Ovis aries: one gene and its partner. The protein of the gene in region 1 interacts with the protein of each later gene in a biochemical or structural test. Links are inferred from orthologs where the notes say so. Each region holds a gene or a part of one and is shown on either strand. Other genes may lie near its edges. The genes, in order: RALBP1 and synaptojanin-2-binding protein.

Region 1 (4,531 bases):
CAAAACAGCTGCCACCCGTCCAGACTTCACAAATGTACACCCTTCCAGAAGAGCAAGGAGGCTGCAGTTTACTAGAAGCCCCAACCCACGTCCCATTGAGTCTCATCAGGTTCTGATTGGGTTAGCACCTCTGAAAGGCTCAGCTACCAAAGGGGATGATTACGCTGCATGGCTTAAATGGGAGGAATGACTCTCAAGAGGCAACCAACAAATATGTTCCATAACCACACAGTAATTGCACTGGCTCACTTAGCTAGCTTCACATACTCAAAGCACTTCAAATGAGCTATACAAACCATGGCTTCTGAAGCTGAAGCCAGTCTGCCTAGTGCCAGCTCCTGGTTCCTCTCCCCCTGTTCCCCAACCCCCCACATTTTTTAGCCTTTCATTGCTGCTGCAAAAATGCCTCTTTTTAAAACTATTTACTTATGGCTGTGCTGGGTCTTCGTTGCTGTGTGTGCTTCCTCTAGTTGCAGCAAGCGGAGACTAGTCTTCCCTGAGGTTCACAGGCTTCTCATTGCATTGGCTTCTCTTGTTGCTGCAAAGCACAGGCTCTGGGCATACAGGTGTAGTTCTGGTGCATGGGGTTGCCCCGAGGCATGTGGGATCTTTCCCAACCAGGGATTGAAACTGTGTCCCCTGCATTAGCAGGCGGGTTCTTAGCCACTGGACTACCAGTGAAATTGAGAAAGGTCATATTCTTTGTGAATAACATAACCATCAATAAGATGCTACCTTTCCTCCCTTTTGTGTGTCCATGTAGCAACTTCCAACAACGATTCAATAGCCAATATGGTCAGTGCCCATCCCTTGGCCCAATCAATGTTGCCAGAGGCAGAGTACTGTAATTGGAAAGATAAAATGCCCATCCCAGTGGACAGAGGACACCGTTCTGTTGCCAGAAGAGCAGTAAGAAAGCTTTTCAAAAAGTCAGAATACAATGGCTACCGCAGACCATCTTGGTCTGTTGTGGGCCCGTTGTGGGTCCTTCCTGGGCGTCAAGCCAAGGGGGCTGAACTTTTGAGTGGGAAATGCAGGGTACAAGGGAGGGATCTACCGTCAGACTTGAGGCGGGCTGATTTGGAACAGGATACGGTGGATCACAGAGGTCAGTCTAAATACGTAATGAAGTTGTAGGAAGAGGTGCACAGGCAGGAATGGAGGTGATAGGGAAGGGCCATCTATCCCCAGTCTTGGGGCTTCCCCGGTGGCTCACATGGTAAAGAATCTGCCTGCAATGCGGGAGACCGGGGTTGGATCCCCGGGTCGGGAAGACCCCCTGGAGAAAGGAATTGACAACCCACTCCAGCATTCTTCCCTGGGGAATTCGATGGACAGGAGACATCCCCCAAGTCAACTGCCAAACTTTATAAGACAAGAACATTTGCAGGACAATTCTTGAAGCCTTTGTGAAGGGTTTCTGGAGGAAATGCAGTTATTTCCGTCTTCCTTCAGATCCAGTTCTGTGTGCACGCCTGCCGTGCGAAGGGCAGCTCTGACTCAAGAGCTCCTCGGTACAAGGTGCAAGGATCTAGAGAGGCTCTCGTCTACCCCCGTTTAAGGAACGCTGAGGCCAAGGCCGACACGAAATTCTAGCAGGTTCCTCTTTAGAAGCCCGGGGCGGTTCCTTTGTCCAAATCCCCAGCAAAAGTCCCCACCCCAAGCCAGACTCCCCACCCAGCCCGGGATGAGCCCCACCCCGCGGCTGCTGGGCTGGCCATCGGGCCGGTTTAACTGGTTGGGACTGAAACCCGCGGTGAAGACGGTCTGCGCCTCGGGAGCTAGGGAACAGGCTATGCGGAGCGTGGACAGGACAACTGCCCTTCTCCGGTGTTCGGCCGACTCTGCCCGCAGCAGTCCTCCCGGAGCCCGCGCTGAAGAGGTACCCGACCACCCGGTCCCAGACCACCGAGAACTGCGCAGGCGCCGGCGGAGCTCTGGCGCGACGCGTTCTCTCGCGCGCTCCCGGGTCTCCCCCGCGGGCCCCTGGGCCCGGCAGGCGTGATGCTTCCTGGATGTTGTAGTGCGCCTCCAGCGGAGGGCCGCATGAGGACTGGGCACTAGGTTTCCGAAGACTACTATTCCCAGCGTGCCCCGCGCGGGGGGTCACGGGACACTTGCCCTCACGGCCCCGGCCGTCTGCGCTGGGAGGAGGAGCCGGGAAGCTGGCGGCGGCGGGTGGAGGGAGTGCGCATGCGCGGTGGGCCGGCTCGCCCGGTTCTGTCCCAATCATTGTAAACAGGCGGAGGCTGGGGCGGGGTGGGAATGGGGAGACCGAGGCCGGCCGGGGGCGCAGCGCAGGAAGCGGCCGCGGCGGCAGCGGCGTGAGAGCAAGGAGGTGGCGGCTGCGGCGCTGGCGGTCGCGCGGCGGCGGCGGCGCAGGTCAGTGGCGGGCGGCGGTCGCGTCGGGGCCCGGTGCCTGCAGCCGTCCGCGCGCCTCCCCGCGGCGTCTGTCAGGCAGCGGGCCGGGCTCTCGCGGCCGGGCGGCGAGGCGGGGGCGTGGCTGCCGGGGCGGCGGGGCCGGGCGCTGGTCGGCGGCTCCGGCCCGCGCAGCCCATTCCTCCGCTCGCCGGCCGGGGCTCTTGGGTCCGGGCGAGGAGGGTGGAAGCCGGGCCCTTCCCCGGGGCGCGGGCCTCGGATGGCGGAGAGGGACTCGGGGTTTTACGTAACCGCGGCCAGGATGCTGGAGGGTCTCCGGTGCGCGCCCGGCGCGGAGGGAGGCTGGTGGACGCGGGGGTGCTCCACGGGCGCCGACAAGTCCGAGCTGGGAATTCTTATCAGAACTCCTCGTCAGGTGGGCTTGTGCCCACAGGCTCTTATGGAGGTCAACTGTGGGGTGGCTTTCGGGTTTTGTTTCTTGTTTTAAACGTTGTGAGAGTGAAACAGGTTTCCCCGAGTACCCCACACCCGAGCCTCCCTTAGTTCCTCACGCCCCTCGGGTTTGGGAGTCGTGACTCCAGAGCCTCCCCGCTGAGCAAGCAGAGCATCTTCTCCTAAGGCCTGGTTGAGTGCTCGAAGGTGATCAAGTGTTAACCTGAGCAGTTTTGACGGTGCGGGTGAAAGTGCTGTGGTTCGGATGCCGCGTTCACGTGGACGCGCCGGGTCAGGAGCCGGTCACCGCGGGTTGTGCGCCTGGAGCGGGCGGGTCTCCGCCCTGCGGCCCCGGTGGTGGTGCAGGTGCTCGGCGGAGAAGCGCTCACGTTCTCCGGAAGCCGCCGGCCACAGGCGGTTCGCTGGTCACGGAGTCTTGTCTGGAAATGAGAAAGGTAATCCATTTTCCGCCTTCCGAATTAGCTTGGCCACTTGGTCCTTTCTGAGTGTCTTCCTGAGGACGAGTTAATTGCTGTCAGCTGTTTCGGCAGATGGTGCCGGCAGGAAGGAAGTTAGTTAGCAGAGGGGCTTCCACTTTTCAGAGTGACCCATAAAAGGAAGCGAGGTGGGCTAGCTAAACAGGAGCCGATGGGAAGTAATTTTTTAAACAGTATCTTGAAGCTGCGAGAGATAATTTATTATCTCTTTAAAATAGTATTGCTCCTTTTAGGTCTTCTAGGGACCATTTCTCCCTTGATTTAGAAAAATAGAAGTGATATCAGAAAGTGCATAATAACTTTAATTATGGTGTTTCCTTTACAAAGAGAGATTGGGCCCAAAATATAACCCAAAAGTATGTTCTTTCTTTTTTGGAAGAAAATCTCCAATAGAAGCTTTTGTTAGTATATGTAGAGGAAATAAGTAAAAGTGCAGGTCATTTAGTTTAATTTCTGTGTAGCAGGTACTGTGAAGACTTACAGATGGATAAGGTAGTGCCCCTGCCTTCAGGATGCTAAGACTATCTCTTACTTGAACTTCCATGAAGACTGTGTTTTTGAGATTGCTTTGACTGAAGGAAGGCCAGGGGCACGGTGGGTATACAAGGGAGGTAGTGGTCAGTTTTAAAGGGGCAGGGAGGAGAGTGTGGAAGGGGGCAGTGGTAGGGAAAACTATGGGAAGGGCTGAGAACAGTGAGGAGACAGGCTCAGACAGGATGGGCATTTCGGTAGGAGGATCTGTTTGAGAAAAGCCAGGAGTCCAAACTTACAGAGTGAGTGTGGGATCTGCAGGTATGGCCCATAAGGGTGGTGGGTGGTGGCAAGCTGTGAAACCCAGGAGGTAGGCAGAGGCCAAATTAGGAAGTTTTGTAGACAGGTGAAATAATTTCAGCTTTATCTTGAAGCAGACAGGAGTCACTGAGACAGGATAAAGAGGCCTAAGCCTCTCTCATAGGGACTAGAGTTACAGAGTTACATTGTAACTCTTCCCTGTGTGTCAGGCCTTGTATTAGGTGTTTTAGACTTGATGTCCTTAAACTTGAAGAAGGCTTTGGCATGAAGGAGGCAGAAATTGCAGGAGAAGAGGCTAAGGCCAAGGGAAAGTTGAACCAGAGGACTGTGAGGGTGGAAAGTCGTTCTCTGCAGCTGTAGCATTGGGCTTATGGGATCAGGTGAGGCTGCACAGATCGGTCCCCATGCCATCCTAAGGGTTCTCGAGGGCT
Region 2 (3,146 bases), on another chromosome or scaffold:
TAAAGGGGGGCATCTTTGGCCCATTCCAGCACCTTTCTATGCCTGCACCCACAGCCTCATGGCATCAGGCAGCAAAGCCTGAATTGGCTGCCTCTGGAGAGAGGTCAAGGCTGATGTGGGGCCAAGACTAGGGGTGAGATGAGGTGGAAGACACGGGACAGCAGAGACCACACAGTAGGAAGAGGACGTACGAGATAGAAAAAGCAGGCGTGAGAGGAGCCCAGGGCAAAGGCAGCAGCGGTCAGTCCCTGGGCTGCCGTGGGTGCTGACAGTTTTCCGGGCTGTCCCAGTCTATGTGAAAACCTACAGGAGACCTCGCTCGTGAATCTGACTCTTGCAGTGCGAAGAAGCTAAGTGACACGGGACCCTACCCACAGCTTCTGCTTGTCACCTGTGAGGTGTCTTCCTCCTCCTTGGGGCCATGGCTTATTTTTTTTTTTTTTTTAAGATTCTTAATTAGTTGCTTTAGTTTTCGTTTTTTTAAATGACTCAGATTGCTATCCTCTTTTAAGCCTCACTCTATTACTCTTGCTACATACTGAATTCTTCTATTGAAGACTATCACTTAATCCTTATAGCAGAAACCTAGAAACCGGAGTTGCTTTCCACTTCTTTAATTCTCCATAAGGCATCACTATTATAATATCATACATGAATATGTACGTATATATATGTGTGTGTGCGTGTGTGTATATATATATATATGTTTGTTTTAAAAAGTAGAAATGTTCTTCTCAATCATCTTTGTTTGATACAAAGTAGGTGCCCAAGTAGGTATTAATAGTTAGAAATTAAATAAAAGGCCACAAAAACTTCCCAAGGAAGATCATTAAAGAGAAAAATCCTTTTTTCCTCTTATTACAGCTGGCCTTTGATGCATGCCAGGTAAGAAAAAAAGGAATACTGCAGGGTGATGGGAAGACTGGACCTTTCCCATTTTTTGGGTTGTAGCTGAACTTCTATTGGCGGTTCTAGTAAAATATATAACTCTTCGTTTGTTCTAGGCAAGTCCTTCTTTCGGGTTTCCTTCAGACACTGCCTTTACTCTCCCATGAGAAAATGAGGATTCAGAGATTTCAAATAGCAAGATTCTGGTTGGGTAGCAGTCTCTTGAAATCATGAGCTGGCTATGTAGAGGGAAAAGTTATGGAAGACTGGCAGGAGAGGGTGAGAGAAAAAGAGAAATGTATCTTCTTCTTTGGGAGCACAGGAAGAAAGCAAGTTTTTCAAAGTCGTTGCCGGTATCTCATGAAGGCCCAGGCTGCTACCATGGTGAGGGCAAACACTGGCACCAGCACCATAGTTATGGGAATACCACTTGGCTCCCCTTCGCCTTGAGGTCCTATGGGCCCATTCTGCACCTGTAACCTGTGCTGCACTCTCAGGGACACAGCATAGCCTGCATTACGGAAGGGGTCCACAGCATCCTGGTGCAGCAGGTTCTTTAGGTCTTGGCCGTTGACCGAGAGGATCTTATCACCCTCCTGGAGCCGCCCATCCAGGGCTGCAGCCCCGTTCTCTTTGATGCGGCTGACGAAGATGCCACTGTTGTCGGAGACATACTGCTGATCTGTCCCACCGACGATGTTGAAGCCCAGCCCTGACGGTCCTCTGGTGAGATTGATCTCTTCCTCGGTAATCAAGTAATCCACTCTTCCGTTCATATTTTAATCTCTGGCTTCCCGACCGGGGTCAGCGAGGATCGGTGCAGGTTGAAGGTGAGAAGCACTACCGGCAGCAGCCACAACACCGCACTTTCGGCCATGGCTTATTCATCTCTCTAACCAGAGCATCTGGCCCTGTGCAGGGAAACCTGTCGGTGCCTATTAATGTTTGAATAAATAGCTGCATTTATCACAACAGTCCTTGGCCCAGCCTTCGTCCAGAGGTTGTGGAATGAGCAGCAGTGCAGATTTTAGAGCCGGTACCCATATCAGCCATGTGCAAGGAGGTGAGCTGTGCCAATGAGATTCTTTCTGGGCGACTGAAGTCTAAAATGAGCAATGAAAAGGCATTACCAGGAGGAGCTGAGGTTTCAAGGGTGTGTGGGGAAATGGAAAAGCTGTGTGGACCCTCAATGTAAGGTTATGAAGGACCTTACAGGACGAGAAAGGAGACCCCAAAATGGTGAATGTGAAACGGTTCTGTGGCCTGTAAAACGAACACAGGTGTCCATGATCAATAAAGCTGACTGTAAGTCTCAGGCGTCGTTGCCAATCTACTTGTGTGACTATAAGAGGGAGAAGAACCTTTGTGTTCTTCTACAAGTTAATCACTAACGGGATGTTGCCTCTAAGCTTAAATTACCCATAATGGACCATCTCTGGGACACTTGTCACCCAGGTAATGAACACTAAGCTAAAATACCTTCGTTTAGCTCACGAGGAAGCATCTTCCTGACCAGGCCCATCTGTGAAAGACTGAAGGCAGGAGGAAATCCCTCCTGGAGTCTGGCCAGAACCAGGGCCTTACTCCCTCCTCTTTCAGTGTTAAAAGAAGCCTGGATTCTAACTCAAGGAAGATGGTTCATAAGGACACAAGTCTGCCATCTTCTCAGGCTGCCATTCCTTACCCCAACAACTTGTCACTTGATTTATTGACCTATTATATGGCAAAGCAGTATGAGCAGCCAGTCTTGCTGCTCATGGCCAGCCAGCTCTGGTTGGGGGATTTTGGGGGTAAGGCCCTAGCAGCTGCCCGGACCACTCGTCCTGAGGATCTTCCCCTTAAAATTCCCTGAAGCTTCTCTGGCTGTCCCAGCTCTTAGCGGGTGGAGCAAGGAATCAACATCTCATGCAGTAGGTAAGTCACTCCATGTAACAACTGGAGATCTTATTTCTTCTCCATTTAGGGCTTCTTTCCTTTAGAATAAGACAATTTGTATTTGAGTGGAGCGTGTGTGTGTGCTCAGTCGTGTCTGAGCGATGCCATGGACTGTAGAGCCCACTTTGTAGAGCCCACTATAGGCTCCTCTTGTCCATGGAATTTTTCAGGCAAGAATGCTGGAGTGGGTTGCCATTTCCTACTCCAGGGGATCTTCCCGACCCAGGGACCGAACACTCGTCTCTTGCATCTCCTGCATTGGCAGGCAGACTCTTTACCACTAGCGCCACCTGGGAAGCACATTTGAGTAGGGCACCATGTTG

Evidence for each region.
Region 2: the proteins of RALBP1 (region 1) and synaptojanin-2-binding protein form a complex in vitro, tested with the Homo sapiens proteins (2 studies listed by BioGRID and IntAct, with this or other methods). The link is inferred for Ovis aries from reciprocal best matches to the Homo sapiens genes RALBP1 and SYNJ2BP.

The regions. Positions count from the first base shown.
Region 1 is NC_056076.1:42,110,956-42,115,486, forward strand, and holds the start of RALBP1 (ralA-binding protein 1), read left to right. Parts: upstream 1-1,719; 5' UTR 1,720-1,882; intron 1,883-2,303; exon of another isoform or gene 2,304-2,382; intron 2,383-2,499; exon of another isoform or gene 2,500-3,266; intron 3,267-4,531. UniProt on the Homo sapiens protein: Multifunctional protein that functions as a downstream effector of RALA and RALB. As a GTPase-activating protein/GAP can inactivate CDC42 and RAC1 by stimulating their GTPase activity.
Region 2 is NC_056064.1:26,357,041-26,360,186, forward strand, and holds synaptojanin-2-binding protein, read right to left. Parts: upstream 1,760-3,146; 5' UTR 1,665-1,759; coding exon 1,227-1,664; 3' UTR 599-1,226; downstream 1-598. UniProt on the Homo sapiens protein: Regulates endocytosis of activin type 2 receptor kinases through the Ral/RALBP1-dependent pathway and may be involved in suppression of activin-induced signal transduction.